Xenopus tropicalis: one gene and its partners. The protein of the gene in region 3 interacts with the protein of the main gene of each other region in a pairwise test. Links are inferred from orthologs where the notes say so. Each region holds a gene or a part of one and is shown on either strand. Other genes may lie near its edges.

Region 1 (4,036 bases), on a different chromosome or scaffold from region 3:
TGGGATGTCAGGTCGTAGGGAGGGGGAGGTGACACGGTGTATTGTCATTCCACTGTTTGGTGGGGCAGGGGTGGGATTGATCTGTTTCATAATTACATCCTAATGTAGTCATTTAGCTACCAGACATTGTATTGATGTCAGCGTATGGTTTAAGCATAACTAGATATAAAGCAAAAAGCAGCGATTAGCAGCCTAAACTACAACTCCCAGCACTCACCATCAACTGTTATGGGTAGCTGTAGTTCAGGGGTCCTCAAACTACAGCCCGCAGGCCAATGGCCCCCCAAGGTCATTTACCCAGCCCCCCACTGGGACTACGCCGAGGCAGACAGGTAGTAGCCAGGGGTGAGGACGCAGGCGTAGTTTGAAGACTAGCCCCCCAACAGTCTGAGGGACCGTGAACTGGCCCCCTGTTTGAGTTTGAGGGCCCCTGCTGTACAGAGTACAGAGGCTAATATGTACTATTTCAAAGCTGTACTGTAAGGGAATCTCTTAATGTGTGGAAACATAGGCTGTCAAGGCATGCTGGGAGTTGTAGTCCAATAGCTGGAGAGTTGCCATCAGATAGTATAGTCTCACAATAAGGGAACACTTATAATAAGGAAAGCAGAAATGAGTTGAACTAATAATAAAGAGACTTTGTAGTGTTCTTGTTCTCCTGACAGAATGGAAGGCTTGCGTATCAGAAGCCCCTGAATACGCCCCTACTCAGCACCAGTTGCCCTATAAAAACCTCCATAACAGAAACTACAGCTCACACCTCCCCTCCCTGTCTGCTGCCCTTGTCTCTCTCTTTCTGCCTGACTCACCTGCACAGGTGAAGCCCATAACGTCATTTAAAGGAGGGCATTACAGGTCACACCCGTGTCTGCGGGCAATGCCCCCCTCCGCAGCTATTGGACGGCGTTATTTGGATTGATATAGAACTCCTCCAATCAGAGTTCACCTTCCCAACTTGTGCCCAATCGCAGATTACAATAGGCATGGAGTGAAACACAAGAATGATTGCCAGCGAAGGCAGCCAATGGGGAAAGTGTGGGCTTCGTGGGGTGGGCGTTTGGGAAGGACTGGGCGTTGTGACTGATTCACATGTTTTCCAATTGAAAGCAAGAGACGGCCGGGCAGTGGTTATTGTCAGGCTGGGGGGCGGGGCGTTGCTGGTTGGGTGGGGGGTGCTGCTGACAGCTCGGTGTAGGGCTTAGTTGTTGGAGTGTTCAGGTCTGGGCGAGTTCCTGACTGAATTGTGGGGATACAGAGGCCTCTTCCAGCGCTTCACAACGCAGGGTAAGGAGCTGCCATTATCGCTGTGTGTGTGGGCTGGGGCGGGCTGGGGAGACTGGCATCTCTTGGTCTATGGCGTGTCCTTCCCTGCCTCTAGCCTGAAGCGCCTTCTCTTTCCTCCTATGGAGCCTGTAGGGCTGTTGGTTCGGGCTTAGCTTTCCTAGTCTCTGAGCTGCTGCTGCTGAACTGCAACTCTCAGTATTCTATGGCAGCTACCCTGCTAGAAATGATAGCTTGGGATAGTCCATATGCCTGACTGCTGCTGAACTGCAACTCTCAGCATTCTATGGCAGCTACCCTGCTAGAAATGATAGCTGGGTATAGTCCATATGCCTCACTGCTGCTGAACTGCAACTCTCAGAATTCTATGGCAGCTAACCTGCTAGAAATGATAGCTGGGTATAGTCCATTGCCTCACTGCTGCTGAACTGCAACTCTCAGAATTCTATGGCAGCTAACCTGCTAGAAATGATAGCTTGGGATAGTCCATATGCCTGACTGCTGCTGAACTGCAACTCTCAGCATTCTATGGCAGCTACCCTGCTAGAAATGATAGCTTGGGATAGTCCATATGCCTGACTGCTGCTGAACTGCAACTCTCAGCATTCTATGGCAGCTAACCTGCTAGAAATGATAGCTGGGTATAGTCCATTGCCTCACTGCTGCTGAACTGCAACTCTCAGAATTCTATGGCAGCTAACCTGCTAGAAATGATAGCTGGGTATAGTCCATTGCCTCACTGCTGCTGAACTGCAACTCTCAGAATTCTATGGCAGCTAACCTGCTAGAAATGATAGCTGGGTATAGTCCATTGCCTCACTGCTGCTGAACTGCAACTCTCGGCATTCTATGGCAGCTAACCTGCTAGAAATGATAGCTTGGGATAGTCCATATGCCTTACTGCTTGCTGCTGCTGAACTGCAACTCTCAGCATTCTATGGCAGCTAACCTGCTACAAATGATAACTGGGTATAGTCCATTGCCTCACTGCTGCTGAACTGCAACTCTCAGCATTCTATGGCAGCTAACCTGCTGTAAATGATAGCTTGGGATAGTCCATATGCCTTGCTGCTGCTGAACTGCAACTCTCAGTATTCTATGGCAGCTAACCTGCTGTAAATGATAGCTTGGGATAGTCCATATGCCTCACTGCTTGCTGCCCATCACTATTAGTCCCTAAAAAAAAAAAATAATATTCTCAGTTTCCCCTTATATTTCAGCCTGTTCCTTATCTATGGGTTAACCCTTTCTCTCCTTGTTGTAACCCCTTCACTGGTGTAACACCTGCTCATTTAACCCCTCCTGTGCTTGCTCTTCTCACCCTTCCCCTATCACCTCATGTGTTACCTTTGTATTTACCCCAGGCAAATGTATATACTGGCTACACCCATCCACACTGATCCCATGGAGGGAAAGTCTCTCTCTCTGTCTGAATGTTTGTTGTTGTTTCTTAAATACCTCCTGTTGTGCTGCTCTGTTCCTGTGTATTGCTACATTGTGTCATTATTCCAGCCTTCATAGCAAGTGATGATTTCTTCTATTAATGCCTATGGGAGAGCAGGTTGGACTTGCTACTACGGCGGATAAAGCATGTACTGTGCTTTTCGCTACAGCTGCCAGCTGAAGGCTGTTGGTGCATCATGGGAATTGTAGTGTAACAATATATGGCCATTGGATTCTGCCCTCGTTAGCATAACCTGTTTATCTAGCAGTAATCCTTTATCCATACACTGTAGAGCTGCCCATACACCCACCGCAAGATCTACTCGTTTGGTGAGGTTGCTAAATAAGCGGAGAATTACCCCATTAAGCCACCCAAACTGGTCTGATAGACCCAACTGGCAACTACTGGGTTTCAAGCTGAGAAGGGTCCTTGCCCGACTGGATTTACCGACCACATGTAGCTGACTTTCGCGCAGATATCCTTTGAGTAGGTCCAACTTGGTCATAATTGGGAGGGGGGTTTATATTGGCTTAACCCTATAATGGAATATTTAGTAACTAACCTTATACTGTATATAAATACAAAATCTATTGTGCAGACGCAGGCAACCCACCCCTGCCCCACCAAACAGCGGTATGACAATACACAATGTGACCTCCCCCCTCCCCACGACCTGACATCCCAGTATGTAGTGAGGGAGTGGCGTTACACAGCACAGACTCTTCCCTGAGGGGGAAACGACATTCTCCGATCCATTGTGGCCCCCAGTCACAGACACACACAGCACAAATGTTGCTTCTGGCCAAGCAGATCAAGTCATTAAATATCTGTAATTTGGGCGGCGTAAAGCATCGACCCACAAAGCAGAATTACAGAATACATGTACGTAACATTTTGATACATTGTCATTTCATTTGTGCGTTTTTATGGGAGTTCTAGGGGTTGCGTTCACTTAGGAGGAAGTTACGTTTTCGACAAATATTGTCTCAGTTAATGGGCTTTTCCATTGCCGTCACTTTAACAAAGTCACATATATCAGTGTTTGGCTTTTTACAGTAGTGGACTTTGTGCGCTTTATTTAGTAGATAGTGCCCCCGCCCACATATAAAGCTTTCGCTCCGTCACTGTGCCAGGCATTCTAAGGACAGTGCCAGGAGTGAGCCCATCATTTGAAATGATTCATGGCCACGGGCTTTGTGTTTTCCCTTCTCGCTGCCAGAGGAGACAGCGGCACATTGAGCCCAAAAGATTAACAGTTGCTTTAGGTGATTGAAAGAATCTGGGAGAGGAATTCTGGGAGGTTTTCTAGAC
Region 2 (4,182 bases), about 25 Mb from region 3:
GCAGGATTTGTGAGTAAGCTGGAGCAGGAATAGACAGCAGGATTGTGAGTGAGCTGAAGACAGAATAGAGAGCAGGATTGTGAGTGAGCTGAAGAAGGAATAGAGAGCAGGATTGTGAGTGAGCTGGAGCAGGAATAGAGAGCACGATTATGAGTGAGCTGAAGAAGGAATAGAGGGCAGGATTGTGAGTGAGCTGGAGCAGGAATAGAGAGCAGGATTATGAGTGAGCTGGAGCAGGAATAGAGAGCAGGATTATGAGTGAGCTGGAGCAAGAATAGACAGCAGGATTGTGAGTGAGCTGGAGCAGGAATAGACAGCAGGATTGTGAGTGAGCTGGAGCAGGAATAGACAGCAGGATTGTGAGTGAGCTGGAGCAGGAATAAAGAGAAGGATTGTGAGTGAGCTAGTGCAGAAAGGGAGAGAGCTAACTGCCCATTGGAATGACAAGCATGAGATTGTATTAGATGTGACCTCTGGCTATCAGCAAAATGTTGCTATGTAAGCTTACATATAACAACTATAAGCAAACTTTATTTCAGAGATATGACAAAGTTGCACAAACTAGATACAGTTGTACAGCACTGAAACATTTACTTGAGTGCAATGCACAGTTCCGAGCATACAACCAGCAGAGCCATCAGATCACTGCAAGATGAGTTGGGCTTAGGTATCTCACACTTAATGATGCAGAGAACCTGCATCATTAAAGTGATACTGACATGAAAAAATGACTTTTCAAATTATGAATCTACTTAAAAAGTTACCTATAGGTTATGTTTATCTTTTTTCACTGTTAGGGCTGGTTTTGTATGTAATTGTTACTTGAAGTTGCCAACCTGACTGTCCCTTCTTGGCCTTCAGTTACAGCTCCTAATGCAAACGGCCTACTGCTGCACAAATATGGCAGCCCCCTCATAGAGGAACATGGGGGATCAGATAAGGAATGTAAAATCATCAGCAAATACTTGTATGGCAAAATTATAAAGCTCATGCAAAGACAATGTTATGATAGATGTAAAAAAGGTTTCATTTCTGGTGTCAGAAACTCTTTAAAGCATTTTGTAGTATAAGAACTGACATCACCAAATGGCAAAGCCCCCACCTAATTTCTAGCTAGCAGTATGGCACAAATGTTCTGTAAGTGGGTATTCATGCCATAGAAGATAGTTTGACTCTCTGTTGTCTCTGTTACTTTCTATAAATTAAAAAAGAGACCACACAACACTTGCAGTTAGATCAGGGGACTTACCTCATTTATTGGGCCAGTGCAACACTATTCTATTTTTGTTAAATAAAGAAACTGTAAACTACTTTGGATGTCTCTTTCCACCTGCTCCCTCCCATCCCACCTCCCTGCACTCTCTAGAGTTCTGAAGCAAGAGGGGGCTTGTCACTATGTGAATGCTGCACTCTGCCTGATCAACACTTTACTCCTTAGTCTCTGTGTCCTCACTTTGTCATGTTTGTATGACAGCAGTGGACAAGGCTTGGGGTTGATTTAGTAAATGATATTCCTTGCCTGGGGGTCATTAGAAGAGAAACGGTGCACAGTTTCTTTCTAGTTCATCACCCACGGGAGAGACTGCAGAATGCCTGCGGAACTGGGTGCTCCCCTCTGCTTCTCCTGCCTGTTACTGCTCGCTGTGCTCAGGATCCATGCCTTCAATCTGGATGTCACCAACACACTGACCAAGGATGGGGAAAAGGACAGCTTATTTGGCTTCTCAGTGGCCCTTCACAGACAACTAAATCCTGACCCTGTGAGCTGGTGAGTGATTTTGCTATGATGTAGAGTTCCTAGGGGCAGACCCTGCTATATCTGTATATGTGGAGTACAAAAGAATGCAGAATAGATGTTCTCTGAATTACTTTTTAGAATGTTTTTCTTTATTAACAGCATCCCCAGTGCAGCTTGTACTATAGAGTGACATCCCTAAATCACACAATAGAGTTAGTTTTATCAGAAGCCACATAACTTGCCTGTATATTTTTAGAATGCGGCATCAGAGCTAACCAGTGAGCCCCAGTGTTCCCATCTCAGGGTAATTTATATGGTTTAATATTTCATCATACCAAAGCTGGCCTTACATACCGAGATTTGGTTGGGCAGTTTGGCCAAGTTTGAGTATAGTGTGCAGCTAGCTGGGCATTAATACCAGATTGGGAATCAGTTTTGATAGACCATCCTGTAATCTTCTGTGACTTCTTTCTGGCCCATAATATATGTACTACTAAAGCTTAGCACTGCACAGCTTTCTAAGTGCAAGTAATCACGTTTATTGAATCAGTAATTTTCTACGATAAGTATGATGTGTGCTGTTCATCTTTATATTAACCTTAGTGCAATTGTGCCTGGTCAGTCTGTTTGAATAAATTAAGCACAACTGTGCCAATTGACACAGGGGAACCCTGTGTAGCTCCATGGTTCCTGCTGTAGCCAGAATTGATTTGTGCAGTGGAGTTGCACCTAAAGTACAGGTATTTTCATCGCAACTATAATTAAACTGGAATTATAGTAAAAATGCTGCATTCTAGGTAAAATACAAGGCGATAATGTATTCAGAATGGCACACTGCATTTGCGGTCATAAATGACCCTTATGGTCCATGCCACCTGTGAGCTTTCATGGGCCATGCTGTAAGGGACAGGCACAAATGACAGAATGACATCATTAGGATTCTTTCATGTTTTCCTGCTCTGCATTTTTGTCACCAGTAAAAGCTAAATATAAGCATAGCCATGCTGTTGCCCAAAATATCCTTCTTCTAAAGCCACCCACATATAATTTACTGTTGTCCTGTATTCCCTCCTGTTTGTATCTGAATTTTTGAAGAGATATTACATGATTTTTATAGATTTGATGCAATGTGTTTCTGAGACTTTAATAGAGATGATTTCTAGCTTTTTGTATTCATATTGTTTTTGTATGTAAACACCTAGGAAATTAGTGATTAGTATTTATAATTTGATGGGTGATTATTTTATATTACAACAGTTTCTGTTAAAAAATCAAGCAATATAAATTGGTCTTAAATGTGGGTATAATTTCTTCTTAGAATCTGTCAGGATTAAGATGGCATACATGGAGATATGCTGTTACTCAATTGTGTAAATTGTATTCAGTACATATACATATAGATATTTGTGAAAAAAAGGTTCACCTGTTGGCTTCATTCCAGTCCTATGAGTACAGATTTTTACTGTGGTGTTCATTTGTATTGGACTGTACCCAGGCAAGTTTTTACTTGGATATAGGGGCGTATTTAGGTCCAGTGACCTAAAGTGGGTGAATTTTTCTGGTTTGAGCTCTAATGTCACATTTTGATAAATCATTATCTGTCCCAAAGTGTTAATGGACAGATTTATCAAAGTGTGAGTTTAGAGCTTAATACATTAAAACTCACCCATGTTCTATTCATTCCTAATAGATTTTTAGAAGCTTATTTATCAGATGGGGAGTTCTAACTTTCACCCATTGATAAATACATTGCTAAAAATCCCATAGGAATGAAAAGCACGTGGAAGATTTTATGTATTAAGCTTTAAACTCATATTTTGTGAGTTTGCCCCTTTGTGTCTGTAATCACATGAAAATTACAGCACTGGTGATTTTAGTCTGACTTTCCCTAAAAAACAAGAATTCCACACTCCATTCTTCATTCCCATCATTTCTTGGGTGCACTATTATTTGATTACATATACCTGTTGCCTGTCTTGTCCTGTCCTGACCTCTGGATTATACTCATGTCTCATGTCACCTTGCTATTCAGACTCAGGTATGGAATCCGTTATCCAAAAAGTTTTAAATTACAGGAAGGCCATCTCCCATAGACTCCATTTTAATCAAATAATTCAAAGTTTAAAAAATGATTTCCTCTTTCTCTGTAATAATAAGACAGTAACTTGTTCTTGATTCAAACAAAGCTACATGAATCCATATTTAATTAATATTTAAATTATTTTTTGTAGACTTAGGTATGGACATTCAAATTATGGAAAGACGCTTTATCCAGAAAACCCCAGGTCCCAAGCATTCTGGATAACAGGTCCCATACCTGTACTGAGTCCTTACATTTTGCTTCAGATAGCTCACGCTAGCCTGATAGATATGTATAAATGCAGTTGCTCACCTTTCATGTGAACAGCATATCTTTTTTTGACAAATGATGATCCTGCAACCCC
Region 3 (4,297 bases):
TTGACCACATTTTTCTGTAAATTAGAAAAAAATCAAATGATTTATTTAGCCATCAGAGTTTGAAAATGAATGAATTTGCCTTTTACTGCATCCAAATATATTGCAAAGACAAGTTCAGTTTGGGTCACAGGTTTCCAGGTGTTTGAAGAGTCTGAGAATGACAATTGGATCATACTGGGTTGCGGTTTATCTGTGTAGCTAAGCTCATAGAATTCTGTCTGTTTTGTGAGAAGGGTTTCGTACCCCAGTGTAGATCTGACAATGCTGCTTAGCTTGATAATTGCACAACCTAATGTGCGGCTGCTCAGTAGTGTTAAGGCAGCACTTAGCTCTTCCCATCTTAATTACAATCACAAACTCCAAAAAGCAAATTCCCATACCTTCCGTTAGCTGGTCGTTATACTTGTCAATGGCAACATAATCTCTAAAGCATTCTGACAGGCTCGTTAAAGACAAGTTTTATTTCTGTCTTCCAAATCAGTGCCCTGCTCTGTATCTCTGCACACCTTATTGCTAATCCTGTGATGTGACACTGATTTCCCTTTCATCTGGGTACCCTGTCTTTATTTTATCTGTCACGCCAAGGAGCAATAGAGAAAATCCAATGTATTGCACCAAATGTTATTGTCAGATTTCATTTCCACAACAATTTGGGTATTTGAGTATTCCTACGGTCTTTGCCATGGTCACAGTTTCTATACTTAAGATTCCAGTACTCAAAAGGTCTGGTGCTTGTTATGATTCTCTTTATGGAGACGTATAAGCTGAGCATTTCATGGCTTAGTTGCCAGAATGGTATGTACTGTATGGTGCCCTGCTTCTATCTTTCCATTTACTCTTCATGTATCTTTATAACAAGGCATTAAATTAAAATCCAAACACCTTTAACATGCAAATATTTCCCAACAGAAATGTTTTGTTTTTTAAAACTTTTTTTTACATTTATTATAAGAATGTTTGACTGTTTTAAATATATTTTTAATTTTTCCCAAAGCAGATCCCATACTGTGGTTAATGATTCAGACAGCTGTTAAAGAGGTTGTTCACCCTTAAATTAACTTTTAGTATGATGTAGATATTTTGAAATTTTTTGTGCTTTTTGGGTTATTTAAGAGAGACACGGAATAGAAAGCAAAGGAATAAAAAGCATCAATAACAATAAAATAGCTCCACAGAGCAATAGTTTTTTGGCTGCCAGTGTCAGTGACCCCCATTTTAAAGCTGGAAAGAGGCAGAAGAGGCAAATAATTCAAAAGCTGTACAAAATAAAAATGAAAGGCCAGTTGAATAAGAATAGGACATTCTATAACACAATAAAGGATAAAATAAAGTTGAACTACCCCTTTAAAAAATTGGTTTGCTGCTCTCTGCATGCAGCTTATGATTCTTTGAACAGCGACGTGAATGAATGAATCGAATGTACTTTTGATTTTAGCTCTCATTATTTTGCTGCCGAAATCAGCTGCCTTCCCTCCAATAATCCAGTGTCTTGCATGCACTTGTTCCTGCTTTCCAAATTACGGCAAGGCCATCTCCCATAGACTCCATTTTAATCCTATAATTCACATTTTTAAAAATGATTTCCTTTTTCTCTGTAATAATAAAACAGTAGCTTGTACTTGATCTCAACTAAGTTATAATCAATCCTTATTGGAGGCAAAACAATCCTATTGGGTTTAATTACTGTTTAAATAATGTGTTTAGCAGACTTTAGGTAGGAGATCCGAAATACGGAAAGACCCCTTATCCGGAAAACCCCAGGTCCAAAGCATCCTGGATAATGGGTCCCATACCTGTACTGACATGTTCCTATAACAGATAGTAATGTGTCACTATTTCTTATTACCATATAAAGCAAGGTCTGCTTCTTAGTTGCACCTAGTCCAGCACGCCGAGCATTCAGCACGCCGAGCATTCAGCATAAGAGATCAATAATATTATTATCATAAACTGTTGTGCTTCCTTTCCAAAAAGTACAGTCAAAAGAAATCATTGCATTTGAATTCATACAGTGGTTTGTGTAGATACATATTCTAGGTCTCTAGAAAGTTTTAATTCTATTTGGCCATCAGGCTTTGTGTACTAAAGGAGAATAAGGCAGACAGTTCCACTTCATCCAGAGTATCCTGTTTATAGTTTGTGCCTCTGCAAGGATAAACTGCACTGCAGTGCTATTAACAAAATTGTAAGTGCCTTTTTATTAGAGTAACCTCCAACCTGTGGCTCTCCAGCTATTGCTGAACTACAAGTTACAACATAACACAATACCATCTTGCTTTGGTGGCGTGAGTGCAATTTAAGCACCTAGAGTTCTGGACCCTGTTGCACACACATTTTCAAAATTAGTGAAATAAAATAACTGATTTTTTATCCTCAGTAGGCATTTTAAAGTACATGAGAGTTTTAATGCATTATACTATATTATGTCTCTAGCTGCTGTGCAAAGTAAAAACAACCCTTACCTGCGGTTAAAGTGTGCCAGGTCTGCCCTCCAGTCAGAGAATGAAATGGCTGGGACAAGTCCTTTGGAGTTTTGATACTCACTGAATTATTTAAACAATGAGTGTGATAATTAGGAAGATGGACATTCTTCTGCTTGCTGTGCTATTAATACCATATCTCTAATAAAACAGCTCTTCCCTGCAGATAAGCATAGTGGCACCTCATAGCAAGCAGCCTTTTAAGGCGTTAGTTAGTGACAGACATGTATTTGTGGATGGTTTTTATTCATAGCTCTCCAGTCTTTTAAGTGAGAACAAAACTGGTCAACCTGCATCCCACACAGGCAGCTATAAATTATCCTCTAAAGTGGCCCTGCAACTACAAACTACTCTAAGCAGGCAGCAATTATAGGGAGCAGCAGGGGTTTCACATCTGGTTTTGTAAATTAGGAATAATTAGGAATAAATCTTTATTTATAAAGTGCTATTTGTGTATGCAGTGTTACGCTTTTTTATAGTACATTATCAGGACAGTCAGAAGTGAGCCAACAAGGAAACAGTGACACAGGAGGAAGGTGGTTCCAGGCCTAGAAAGTTTACAATTTATGTGGCTGAGTAACTTACAGACAAAGCATGGAGAGTAATAAGTACAGCCATTACTCTGAATGAGTGAGCTCTGAATCACACCTGGCACCAGATACTATGCTAGGGCTCCAACAGGCAGGATTTGATTTTAGTTCTGAAGAGCTTGTGAGCTGGGGCACTCACTCATTTGTGTATGTGACTGTCCCAACATGGTCGCCTGTGCTGGGCGCTCCCTTCTACTGCAGCGTGGGCACTCTGCGCTTCCAGACAACTGTAGACACCTGCCTTGTTCCCAGCACCTTAATAACCAGAGAGTGTTGTATTATGGAAAATTTGTACTGTTTAACTAGCTTTTAATGAGTATAATATGTAACTCAAATTCCAAATTGTTTTTTTTTCTCAGGCTTTTAATATAATGCATTTTTTTCTCAGCCTTTTAATATAATGCATTTGCTAACATGTAATATTCAAATAGGCTACTAGTTACATGCTAAAGGAAGCAGGACCTTGGTAGGAGCACGTCTGTTATAGCACATTTTCTATCTTAAAATATCCCTTTAACTAGTAGGAGTAATCAGAACACTGACACTAATCTTCACTGCTGGATGTGCATGCACCCTACTGGTTCTGCTAAGGATCAGGATAGTACCGACTGTATCAATATGCATTGCTTAGTGGATTTCTATGAATTCTAATACAGTATCTTGGTCATTTTTTTTATCCCCCTGTATTACTCTGTTCATGATTTCAAGGATTTATATGATTTATAGTAGGTCTTTGTAAATAATGTCCCAGGTCTTTAATAAACCTCATGAAATATGACAGACATCACTGAGCCTTCAGGAGAAGGAAAGTCTCAAATGAAAACAGAGACTAATCTGCTTATTAAGCTAGTGTGTGCTCTGTCTCACGCAGCCCCAGTGATATTATCTCCGGAATATTAATAACTCTTGGAACATGTGAAACCTTTTCCAGTTGCTTTGGGAATGTAATTGTCTTTAATTACTCTGGCAGTGTCAACACACACACTAAAAAGTCTAAGCGAATGTGGTGGTCACTGTAGGCATTATGATATGTTCCCAGTATGAATTATTCATTCATTGCTGTTGTTGTACTGGACCCCTAACAATGAACTGATGACTGATTGCTGTGGGTTACAGGAACCTATCAAACATTGCAAATGTTTTTGCATTAACCCCAAACGGTTAGGGCTCCTTCATATCAATGTTTTTGTTTGTTTACACAGATGATGTCAAAAACTAATTGGGAAC
Region 4 (4,244 bases), on a different chromosome or scaffold from region 3:
AGGCTGCTGGTGGCTGGTCATCTTTATTGGCCTTCAGCCAGCATTGTTTTGGCAATGCTTGCAAACTTTTCCCAAGCTTGTATAACTTGCAGGCTAATGCCTTGTACACAAAGTTCAAGCACAGTGAGCCGATAAGTGTCTACCCAGGGCCTGGGGAAAGTAAGAGAAGTGTACCATATATCATTACTACTTATATGGCACCCAACTCCTTTTTGTACATTGAGATATGCCTCCTATTTTCTCTAATACATAGTGTTCGCCAACTTTTTTACAAGAAATAGAAAAAAAACATTATCCAAAGTACATAATTAATTATTATTATCATATAAATGTAGCATTTTGATAAACCTTCCCCTTTTCTTAAGTGGCAGATTTTATAATGTTCCTTACTTTTTTGGTCAAGTCAAGCTTGTCTTTGAGTCAGTATTACATATCTTAGAAGCTTATTCTGTACAAACTAAAAACTATAAATTATGCTTTAATATAAATGCAATCAGTAATACAGCATCCTCTTTATGTATGATATTGTATCATGTAAAATCATCATTAGGAAAAGATTGTTAACTGAAGTAGAAGGGTTTGTGCATTTTAGGCTGCAATCTCGGCCAGATTAACAAATTCATCCCCTGCTTAAATACAGGGTGGTCCAGCCACATACATGATATCTAGGTTTCCTATCAAGGGTAAACCCAACACTTGGTCTCTAACTACCCTTCAAGTACGGCATATTGGCATTGTAGAAAAATATGAATTTAGAGTATACATGTTCATTCAATCAACTTGGTCAAAATGAATATATAAAAAAAATACTAGCACACTCAATAATTCCCTGGTGAAGTTGCTAGCTTGATTTAGGCCGTTACTTTGATTAAAATGACAGATAACTTGCTACAGGGCCTTGTGTGGCTCCTATAATGTTCTGTATGTGTGGTCCCATTTAAGAACTGCTTGTTCCGGAACTTAACCCTAGGCATTTAAAGCACAAACCCAGTTGATGGTAATCCAGCCCCCATAAAGCTCAGAACTGGAGCAACACAAGTTTTTTAGTTCACCCATATCCATGTCTGTAAAAATGTGTGCCTTCCGCTTCCAGCAGCTCCATGTAAAAACATACTTCCTACCCCACGACATAAGCAAAAATATGGAAAATAATTACAAATATTACACATTACGGGTCCTAAATTATAAACCCAACATCAATACAACAGAAATGTCTGCTGAAAAATGTTGCTTTCACATTCATTAAACTGGTACAGATACAATTTGGCTTTTGAAAGATCCTGAGAAGCAGCCCATAGTGTGCCAGGTTCAAAGGCTTAGAAAGAGGAATGAGGATGTTAACTGTAGATGGCTGAGGCTTGCCCATTTGACATTTGGGTTGAATCTGCAGAAGGGGGTTCAGTATGAATGGCAGCTCATAGTAAACCTCCATCATTCCTTGCCTGCAATGATAAACTCTGTGCAGCAAGTTGAGGCAACGTTGGTCTTACTTCAATTTTTCTAGCAATGTTGAAAATGGACAAGTAGACACTGCACATTAAAATGCAGACAAATAAATATGTATCCACTTCACTCCTTAATATCTGTTCAGACCATAACATTTGGTTAAAAAACAAACTGATCCCATGAGTAAGAAAGCTATAAAGGGGAAATATATAAAAGAATCATTGGTATAGAATTTTTTACCCACTTTTTCTCAAGTGGAAAACAGATAGGATCTGGTGTTGGAAAGAGACAAAATTTAAAAAAAAAATATGATGTTCACTAGTAACTATTACACTACAATATAATGCAAGGCTTTTTATCCTTGAAGGGGTTTTCTGATGCAGGGATTCCCATGAGCAAAGGGTCATTCTTGGCATGTTCGTCACAGTAACGCATGAGATCGGCTGATGCTTTTGAAACCTAAAACAAAAGAACAAGCTTATTCCAAGATTCCGATATTCTTGATAGAATTTTAGCAATTCTTGATTTTAGAATTCCTGATAGACTTTTCACTAAGGGCGGCTATAAACGTGAAGATACGCTTGTTCGGCAAGGTTGCCAAATGAGCAGATCTTTCATCGATATGCCAACACACACTTAAAGGAACAGTAACACCAAAAAATTTATATATTTTAAAGAAATTAAACTATAATGTACTGCTGCCCTGCACTGGTAAAAATTGTGTGTTTGCTTGAGAAACATTACTTGAGTTTATATAAACCCTGGTGTGTAGCCATTCAAAAGAAGAAAAGGCACAGGTTATATAGCAGCTAACAGATAAACTCTGTAGAATACAATGGTGTCTTATCTGTTATCTGCTATGTAACCTGTGCCTTTTCTCCTTTTTTCCAGCTTGAATGGCTGCCAGCGGGGCTACACAGCAGCTTATTATATAAACTATAGTAGTGTTCCTGAAGCAAACAACAGAGTTTTACCAGTGCAGGCAACAGTATGTTATATTTCAATTACTTTAAAACACTTTCATTTTTTGGTGTTACTGTTCCTTTAACAGTTTAATAGTAAAAACACATAATAAGGATCAGGGATCAAATGCAGCAATTAGTCAAGAGGCTTTAAGGCTTAAAAACAATACTTCTTACAGACAAGAATTTCTTTGTCTTGTAAAGTGGCATATCTGTGTTAACAGTCTGGTCGTATGCAAGTGTTCTTTTAGTTTAATTCAACAACTGTATAGGTCTTTACCTTTACTCTTTCTATGGAGGCCTCCACTTTGAGTTGCTGTACAGTTCTTCGTGCCTGTGCTATGTTATTTGTGCTGGTTGTTTTTGCAGACATCTTTGGTGAGGTCTAAAAAGGTAAGAAGAAAGAACAGGTTGTCCTCTGCTATTCCAAATAATCACAGCATTCCAGAGATACCAGCTTCTTGTACTCCACACACCCAGCCTTTTGGTGCAGTAGAGCTGCAATGTCTGTCTGAGCAATGTGTTGAACAATCTAACAACATAATGGAAAGAATTAAAGGATTGCTCTGTTGAACAGTAACAGTTAAACATTTATAATGCTTTTTTTTTTTTTTAAGTATTAACTTATAGGTATAGTGAAACATTCCAGGTTTTAGCAGGAATGTTTCCGACACTGGTTAGTATTGGGTGAGCTGGGGGAGGCAGGGGCACCTCAGTTAGATAACAAAGTGGCCTCCCCCAGCTCACCCAATACTAACCAGTGTCGGACTCTATCACAGCTTCAAGTTGAACAACTTTCTGATGAAGCGTGGTTGGGGCGTGGGACAAAACTCTGATAAACTGGAGTACAAATGTAAACAGTGTCTCCAGACTATGAGAATACTGTCCTGCCCCCAAGCATGTAATCACTCAGGAATGTGTTTAACTTGAAGCTGCACCAGAGACTGACACAGGTTAGTATGGGGGGAGGCACATAAAAATCAATTAAATAAAAAAAATAGCATCACACTGGATTTAAGTAGGCATAGGGTTTAAAATAGAAACCTGTCACTATCCCTTAAAATGGTCTCAAGCTTGCTTCTTGCTAAAGGTGGCCATACACGTGGCGATCCGACGATGTTTCGTACGACCATCGGTCGTACCGATGTATGGTGGCCATACACGCACCGATATTATCGTACGAAACCTCGTTTCGTACGATAATCGGTGCGTGTATGGCATGTCAGCGAGCCGACCGATATCGCAGGAAACTGCTGAAATCGGTCGGCTCGCCGATCGGCCAAGTTAGAAAATTTTGATCGGGCGCCATAGAAGGCGCCTGACCAAAATTCTCCCTTCAGAGCTGAATCGGCAGAAGGAGGTAGAAATCCTATTGTTTCTACCTCCTTACCTGCCGATTCAGCCCTGAATGGTGTGTGGCGGATCTGACGATGTTTCGTGCGACCGACGGTCATACGAAACATCGTGAGATCGCCACGTGTATGGCCAGCTTTAGGGTTACTAGATTACTCAGAAGCACTTGAGAGTTTTTGCTTGATGCAGCCCTGACCGCAATAATCCTTTTATTCTGTTTAGCGATACAGAGAATAGAATATGCTTTTAGTATTGTACATACATCAATAAACACAGCTGCTTTTTTTACTCACAAATGGAACTCTCATAGCTGATGATCTTAAACAGGCTACAGATATGCGCTTTTACTTGTCACATAACTTACTAGCATCCAGTGAAAATTACCCAACTGCAATGCATTTACAATCAGACAGTAAAGGAAATCTATACCCCTGAACAATGTAAGTCTTTATAAACAGCTCATATGTAAAACACTACTAAATC
Region 5 (3,500 bases), on a different chromosome or scaffold from region 3:
GGCACTGGAATCCTAATATAGTGTGTGGGCGCAGGTAGACCAACCCATGGACAAGTCATTTTGAAAGATATGCCTGTGATTGTATTAAACACTCATGGTTCTTGGGTTTGGAAACCACTATTATAGAGCGTTTTAGATAACAACCTTCTCATTAATGTACGGCTACAAACTCCTCCTCAAGAGCTTACTGTAGTTAGGGGGTAGGTTGATCATGATGGCCTATAAAAGCTTAAAGCAGGGTTTGCGGACACAACAGAGACTGAACCCTATATCAAGTTGGCACTTTAATATCACAGGGGGTACAAGTTAAATTGTATGTGGGCTGCTGGTCTAAAGCCCAGAATACCTTGCTGCTGTCCTTCCTGACCAAGAACGTTGATTCTGCTGTCCATACACTGTTCAGTCCAGATCCTGGTGGGTACATACGACGAGGTGGTGGTGGAGGGGGAGACTTTGTTACTTTATCGTTATCCTGCTCCATTATGGTTTTTACCTCTAGAAAAGATGACGAGAGTCAGATTAGTGGGGAAATGTCAGATGGTATCAGTCACACGTCTTTACATTTAGAGACCACTGCAAGGGGATATTGCTTTGCTTTTGTTTCTTCTTAGTCTTTAATGTCACGTCTATCTCTCAGAGTGTCACTGGTTTGTTTGCTGTACAAGGTGCAACAAGCCATGGGGAGGTGTCCGACAGTAATGAGAGTAAGTGTAACTGGGACTTCATTTAGAATTCCACTGCTAAATCTAATTCTGTTTTATTTGTGCAGATTCTAAACCTTCTGATCCGAGCCGTAGGATTGTAAAGAAAAATTCAGTCTTTTCCCTACAGGCTTTAATCCAACTGGAGAAGCATAAAGCGCTTTTTTAAAAGGCAGCCTATTTAAATGTTAGTGTAGCTTTAGGATATGTGAAATAATATTTGTTTTTCAGGAGCAGATTCAATTATTTCCTTTTTTCATCCCTCAATAGTTGAACAAATCACTATTTGACTCTGCCTGTGATGCCTACCAACCCCAGCAGAGAATAATGAGGGTTTAACCTTCCCAAAACTGCTATATATTCTTATGTAATTAGAAGTTCTCCAGTGGAAAGACTTCTATTGGTTGCCTCCCAAACACATATTTCATCTTCCTTCTCTGATTACAAATGGAAAGTCACCTCTCCCAGATTCAAAGAAACACCCCATATAGAATATAATGTACCTTGAATATTGTCAAGTTATGGAACTGTATTCATGGATATCCCAACAGTATGGCAGCACAGGGAGCTGACACCCAGCACATTGTAAACATATATATAGAACTTCATCCAGAATATAAATGATGTATTTGGACACTTACCCGTGACCTCTTTTTTGTCCACAATCTCCACTTTCTGGGACTGGGCTGGCACCTCTAAGCTGGGAATGGCCTTCATGATACTGGCTTGTGCTTCTTCCAGCATTTTCTCAAATTCCTTTCCGTTATAATGATCAAGATTCTGTCTCTTCTCTTCAAATTTTCTCTCTGCCTCCTGCAGAATATACATACATAGTTAGCTTACAGTCTCTGTATAGGACTACCTACAGGTAAGCTTTATGGCAACATGATTAAGCCTTAAATCCTGAGAATATAACAGGACTATTCTGTAATACAAAGACAGAAAGAGCATTCGTGTCTATATGGGCACCTTCCCAAACTCATTGACTAGGAGACTAGAAGCAAAAAAGCCATTTGGGTGCATTAAACTGGGGAACTAAGGGAACACTGGATAATGGCAGCTATAAAGTATATGTGCACTGTTCCTTGAGCCCAACTCACAAGGTGGAATAGAAATAATTAAGGTGGCCATACACCAGCAGATCCGCTCGCTTGGCGATGTCGCCAAGCGAGTGGATCTTCCCCCGATATCCCCACCTACGGGTGGGCGATATCGGGGAGCATTTAGGTAAAAAAAAAATAATCCGATCGTTTGGCCCTGGGGCCAAACGATTGGATTATGTGGGCGGCAATGGGGCAGTCGGATCGGGGACCGCATCAACGAGCCGATGCGGTCCCCGATCCGACCGGATTTTCTAACCTGGCCGATCGAGATCTGGCCAATTTCAGGCCAGATATCGGTCGGCCAGGCCGCTCTGCCCTGCCCATACACGGGCCGATTAGCTGCCGAATCGGTCCAAGGGACCGATATCGGCAGCTATAGTCGGCCCGTGTATGGCCACCCTAAGGATTAGGGGACATAAAGATGCAGGCACTCTCTCTATGCACAACATTGTCAATATTCATCATCTGCTCTGCACCAACACAAAGTGAAAAGGGGGTTTGTTGGGGAGCGCAGGGGTGTAGGGGGCCCAGTAAGGCCCTCGCCCAGGCCAAACAGCAGGGGGCGTACATGTTACACCTTCATGGTAGTATTAGTATTAAAATTGCCAATACTGAAAAATATCAAATAAATAAAGTGCTCAGAAAAAAAACTAAGGTATATGTAGGGTATATGTCTTTAAGACCAGGACAATATGGTGAAAGTGAACTGTCTATTTCCATGTATTATTAATATCATAAACCCTTCCTAGGAGCTCTGTAGATATCAGGGCCATTGTGGCTCCATTTGCTGCATGGCTGGTCAGTAAATGCGTGCTCAGTTCTACTTTCCCCTTACTTGCTTTGCTTCCTACAGAGATATAAGAATATACCTCAATGGACACCGCTCGGTTCCTGTAAGTCACTTGACTCATTTCCTCAATAAAAAGACTTTGCTTGGAAGATCCTTCCTGTGCGGCCGTCGGTGGGTTCCTCCTTGCACTTTCTGGGGTGACGCTGGGTGGCACGCTGGCAGTTTGATGGCTCACTAGTAATTCTGTGCTGTGACTGCTCTGGGTACTGGGGGCAGGAGTGTGGTTCACGAGTGCAGACGAGTGCTGGGACTGCTGCATGAGAACCGGAGAACTTTGAACTTGATGGACTCTGAGGCCGGCCGACAGGGGAACCACTTCCGATTTAACAGATGTGGTCGGCGATTCCACTGCTGCTCCTCCATCAGTTTGTGTTGGCTGAAGGTACACTTGGGACTTTTCCTCATGGACCTGGAGTGAATCAGTCTCAGTTACTCTTTCTGTTATTAGAACCTGGCTGGTCTGATTGTTGTCAATGGATTTGGAGGATCCGTCAGTGGCGTGTCTATTGGAACACAAAATGGTGGAATTAGACCTGTACAAGTAAACTTCTCAGCACCTGGGCTCATTATTCATTTTAGCAAAAGGAGATTTACCCCTATATGTAATATGGAAGGTAATAAAAGGCACAACATTTGCCCAGGTTTAGTAACCCATAGCAACCAATAAGAAAACAAAACTGCTAATATGTTCAAAACTTGAGAATAATGAATGTAAATATAATGAATGTAAATTGCCAAAGTGTTTAGAAGAGTTTTCTGAGTGATTTAACATTTATGTTGAGGGTTTACATTTCCTTTAACACTTCAGTAACCAATAGAAACCAGTTAGCTGTTAGCCTGACAGGT
Region 6 (4,287 bases), on a different chromosome or scaffold from region 3:
CATTACTTATACAGTTCTGTATGTAATATGCAACATACGTGTGTACATACCCATTACTTGTACAGTTCTGTATGTAACATACGTGTGTACCTGCCCATTACTTGTACAGTTCTGTATGTAATATGTAACATACGTGTGTACATACCCATTACTTGTACAGTTCTGTATGTAATATGTAACATGCGTGTGTACCTGCCCATTACTTGTACAGTTCTGTATGTAATATGTAACATGCGTGTGTACCTGCCCATTACTTGTACAGTTCTGTATGTAATATGTAACATGCGTGTGTACCTGCCCATTACTTGTACAGTTCTGTATGTAATATGTAACATGCGTGTGTACCTGCCCATTACTTGTACAGTTCTGTATGTAATATGTAACATACGTGTGTACCTGCCCATTACTTGTACAGTTCTGTATGTAATATGTAACATGCGTGTGTACCTGCCCATTACTTGTACAGTTCTGTATGTAATATGTAACATATGTGTGTACATACCCATTACTTGTACAGTTCTGTATGTAATATGTAACATACGTGTGTACCTGCCCATTACTTGTACAGTTCTGTATGTAATATGTAACATACGTGTGTATCTGCCCATTACTTGTACAGTTCTGTATGTATGTAACATACGTGTGTACCTGCCCATTACTTGTACAGTTCTGTATGTAATATGTAACATGCGTGTGTACCTGCCCATTACTTGTACAGTTCTGTATGTAATATGTAACATACGTGTGTACCTGCCCATTACTTGTACAGTTCTGTATGTAATATGTAACATACGTGTGTACCTGAGCATTGTACACTGTCACAGAACATGTTAGCACTTTATAAACATCCAACCTGCGGCAGTACAAACCTGTGGCCGCCCTAGTATGCCCTGCACGGTTGGTGGGATGTAGTTTAACAAGAGCTGGACCTACTCAGTGCAGCCACCATCCCCCCTGTACGTTTGGCCAATGCTTGCTGCCTATCCCCCCCCATGGGATCCCTAAGGAAACTGCTGCCTTTGTTTTCCCTACAGCCGAGCGTGTAACGCGCAGAGGATGCGGGAAATGGTCGCTTTGGTACCCCAGCCTCCCACACCCATCTAAAACCCCAAACTCCCCTCACTTCACTTTCATTTCAGCAGGGAGGTCAGAGGCCGAAGTGACGTCAGTTCCCGCGCTATGGATGCTGGGAAGCCGAGGCGCCCGCCCTTTCCCCCCCACAGCCATCGACAGACTGGAGGAGGTGGAGGCCGCGGGCAGCCTATCTCGCTGTAGCCGGTAAGTGACTGAGAAACTAACGCAGCTTCTCCTCCGCGTCACTGGCGGCTAGCGCATCTCCCTCACAACCACATGTTATAAGGCCGCCTGCCTGCATGGGGGCGATTTTTCTTTATGCGCGATTTGATGACGTAATAGTGGCCGGCTGGCGCCGCAGTATATACTGAGGGAGACGAGAGGCCGTTTCCGGGTGGTGGGCTAGTCACAAGCGATGTAACTTAGTAACTGGGTACATTAGAGGACAGGTCACTGCATTATTTTTTTGGCTCCGCTCCCGTTTCTCTGTTTTAGTTTCACGGCCCGGAGGCAGGCACTGGGTGGTCAGAACAGGCCTTCCGGTGTTTAAGGCGGAGACGCAATTGGCCAGGTTGTTGACATGATGGATGGACGGACGCCCAATAGGAAGCGAGAGGGGAGGGACCAGTGGTTAAGCTGGCTGAGGGCGTTGCATGGAGTTAGTAAGGGAAGGGGAGGGGCCAGCGCTCACTCGTGTAGTTTCCCAGCAGCATCACAAACAGTCAGAGAGTTCTTTTAGTTAAAAGCGACACACTCCGAATTTTACTCGATCTTTAGAGTTTTAGTTACGTGATTTGCCGTGATTTCCCAAACTCCAGAACGTAAAAAGAATGTCACCTTTATTAATATTAGCCTGCCTTATTTTATTCGCCTCATCAATGAGATACGTGAAGTAAAAGTGTGCAGGGAATACCATGGGAAAGGGCAGTCTGCCATTCTAAATAACGTTTCCACATGCATTCATTACATTTTCAGTGGCCATTGGGAAATGGTTTCAGCAATACACTCACTGATCACACACGGGTAGGAATAGGGGGCTCCAGCTTAAAGGAACAGTAGCACTAAAAAATGAAAGAGCTTTAGTAATACAAATATAATGCACTGTTGCCCTGCACTGGTACAACTGGTGTGTTTGCTACAGTAAAGGCCCCCATACACAGGCCGATTATAGTTGCCGATATGGGTCCCTTGGACCCATATCGGCCCGTGTAGGGGCAGAACCGAGGGGCCTGGCCGACCAATATCTGGCCTGAGATTGGCCAGATATCGATCGGCCATGTTTGAAAATCCAGTCAGATCGGGGATCGCATCGGCTCGTTGATGCGGTCCCCGAACCGACTGCCCCATCGCCTACATGCCTCCCCGATATCGCCACACGTAGGTGGGGATATCGGGTGAAGATAAGCGAGCGGATCTGCCCGTGTATGGCCAGCTTTACACTACTATAATTTATATAATAAGCTGGTGTAGCTCCGGGGGAAAAAGGAGAAAAGCTTATCGGCCCGTGTAGGGGCAGAACCGAGGGGCCTGGCCGACCGATATCTGGCCTGAAATTGTCCAGATATCGATCGGGCAGGTTAGAAAATCCAGTCTGATCGGGGACCGCATCGGCTCGTTGATGCGGTCCCCGAACCGACTGCCCCATTGCCACGTGAAGAATTCGATCGTTTGGCCCCAGGGCCAAATGATCGAATTCGCCTACATGCCTCCCCGATATCGCCACCCGTCGGGTGAAGCGAGCGGATCTGCCCGTGTATGGCCAGCTTTACACTACTATAATTTATATAATAAGCTGGTGTAGCTCCGGGGGAAAAAGGAGAAAAGGCACAGGTTACATAGCAGATAACAGATAAGTTCTGTAGAATACAATAGTGTTTTATCTGTTATCTGCTATGTGCCTGTGCCTTTTCTCCTTTGAATGGCTGCCTCCATGGCTACACAGCAGCTTATTTATATAAATTATAGTAGACTTTCTGAAGTAAACACACAACTTTTACCAGTGCAGGGCAGCAGCACATTATATTTTAGTTACTTTTATACACTTTAATTTTTTGGTGTTACTGTTCCTTTAAAGGACAACAATGTCCAATTCACTGGTGCCAATATGTAAAGCATCCCCCCGGTGAATATAGTCACTAAGGTTATTTCTCCGGGCTGCTCCTAGGGAAAAATACATGCCCCCCCAGGTGCATTCTGCAGGTCTTATTAACACAATGGGGCACATTTACTAATCCACGAACGTCCGAATGCGTTTTTTTCGTAATGATCAGTATTTTTGCTACTTTTTTGGCGCCTTCACGATTTTTTCCGTATTTTTCGCAACTTTTTCGTCGCCGTTACGACTTTATCGTATTTTTTCCGCGACTTTTTCGTCGCCGCCGCGAAAAATTTGGATTGGTTTTTCCGCCGTTTACAATTGCTCAATACGAAAAAATCACAACGGCTACGAAAAAATCGTGACCGCGACGAAAAAGTCGCAAAATTTTCGTTTCCAATACGATTTTTTTCCCTTTCGGGATTCGGATTCGTGGATTAGTAAATCTGCCCCAATGCCTCGTGCAGCAGGGAAAAGTGGCAAAAAAAAAAAAATTTTTTTTTTTTTTTTGCACATTGTAAATGAGCCCTATTCTCTTTTTATTTTTTTTCCCCCAAACTTAAGTAGAGGTTATTATCTGGAATGCTTGGGAACTGTTTTTTTCCTGTAATTTCAGACCAGCATTTAGCTGCTGCCTGTCGGTGCTGAGGTTCTAGGTTCAGTTCCAGTTCCAGTCCCAATTTACTTTTTCTTGTTTCAGACAAGCTGTCACGGTATGGAAGCAGAGGAGACGATGGGTTGCATTCAGGAGTTCCCAGACCATTACAAAGTGATGTTGGACAGACTAAATGAACAGCGAGAACTTGATCAGTTTACTGACATCACATTAATAGTGGATGGTATGTATGTTGCTCCCGCCATTTATAACGCGTTATATCATTGTTGCTTGATTCATTCGTCAGCCTGTTTATTCACAAGTATTCATTTATGTATTTGGGTTGTTGAGTTTATGGATCGTGCTTTTAAGCATCTATTTTTTACCTTGTCTTGCCCAGGTCATCAGTTCAAAGCTCACAAGGCCGTTCTTGCTGCATGCAGTCACTTCTTCTACAAGTTTTTTCAAGATTTCACTCAGGAGCCATTAGTGGAAATTGAAGGTATTTCAGTCCTTGTTGTTC

The links.
Region 1: the proteins of fhl2 (region 3) and jup interact in binary tests that used the Homo sapiens proteins (3 or more experiments, as listed by UniProt). The two-hybrid records come from large-scale screens. The link is inferred for Xenopus tropicalis from reciprocal best matches to the Homo sapiens genes FHL2 and JUP.
Region 2: the proteins of fhl2 (region 3) and itga7 interact in a two-hybrid assay, tested with the Homo sapiens proteins (2 studies listed by BioGRID and IntAct). The link is inferred for Xenopus tropicalis from reciprocal best matches to the Homo sapiens genes FHL2 and ITGA7.
Region 4: the proteins of fhl2 (region 3) and gng12 interact in binary tests that used the Homo sapiens proteins (3 or more experiments, as listed by UniProt). The link is inferred for Xenopus tropicalis from reciprocal best matches to the Homo sapiens genes FHL2 and GNG12.
Region 5: the proteins of fhl2 (region 3) and kiaa1217 interact in binary tests that used the Homo sapiens proteins (3 or more experiments, as listed by UniProt). The two-hybrid records come from large-scale screens. The link is inferred for Xenopus tropicalis from reciprocal best matches to the Homo sapiens genes FHL2 and KIAA1217.
Region 6: the proteins of fhl2 (region 3) and znf131 interact in binary tests that used the Homo sapiens proteins (3 or more experiments, as listed by UniProt). The two-hybrid records come from large-scale screens. The link is inferred for Xenopus tropicalis from reciprocal best matches to the Homo sapiens genes FHL2 and ZNF131.

What each region holds. Positions count from the first base shown.
Region 1 is NC_030686.2:7,366,675-7,370,710, forward strand, and holds the start of jup (junction plakoglobin), read left to right. Parts: upstream 1-1,236; 5' UTR 1,237-1,284; intron 1,285-4,036. UniProt on the Homo sapiens protein: Common junctional plaque protein. The membrane-associated plaques are architectural elements in an important strategic position to influence the arrangement and function of both the cytoskeleton and the cells within the tissue.
Region 2 is NC_030678.2:137,071,635-137,075,816, reverse strand, and holds the start of itga7 (integrin alpha-7), read left to right. Parts: upstream 1-1,382; 5' UTR 1,383-1,589; coding exon 1,590-1,768; intron 1,769-4,182. UniProt on the Homo sapiens protein: Integrin alpha-7/beta-1 is the primary laminin receptor on skeletal myoblasts and adult myofibers.
Region 3 is NC_030678.2:111,734,304-111,738,600, forward strand, and holds the start of fhl2 (four and a half LIM domains protein 2), read right to left. Parts: upstream 2,801-4,297; 5' UTR 2,463-2,800; intron 1-2,462. UniProt on the Homo sapiens protein: May function as a molecular transmitter linking various signaling pathways to transcriptional regulation. Negatively regulates the transcriptional repressor E4F1 and may function in cell growth.
Region 4 is NC_030680.2:83,489,026-83,493,269, reverse strand, and holds the start of gng12 (guanine nucleotide-binding protein G(I)/G(S)/G(O) subunit gamma-12), read right to left. Parts: upstream 2,801-4,244; 5' UTR 2,782-2,800; coding exon 2,689-2,781; intron 1,906-2,688; coding exon 1,780-1,905; 3' UTR 1-1,779. UniProt on the Homo sapiens protein: Guanine nucleotide-binding proteins (G proteins) are involved as a modulator or transducer in various transmembrane signaling systems.
Region 5 is NC_030682.2:25,946,418-25,949,917, forward strand, and holds part of kiaa1217 (sickle tail protein homolog), read right to left. Parts: intron 3,158-3,500; coding exon 2,674-3,157; intron 1,515-2,673; coding exon 1,343-1,514; intron 496-1,342; coding exon 347-495; intron 1-346. UniProt on the Homo sapiens protein: Required for normal development of intervertebral disks.
Region 6 is NC_030677.2:195,028,561-195,032,847, reverse strand, and holds the start of znf131 (zinc finger protein 131), read left to right. Parts: upstream 1-1,487; 5' UTR 1,488-1,654; coding exon 1,655-1,732; intron 1,733-3,869; coding exon 3,870-4,008; intron 4,009-4,164; coding exon 4,165-4,266; intron 4,267-4,287. UniProt on the Homo sapiens protein: Plays a role during development and organogenesis as well as in the function of the adult central nervous system. May be involved in transcriptional regulation as a repressor of ESR1/ER-alpha signaling.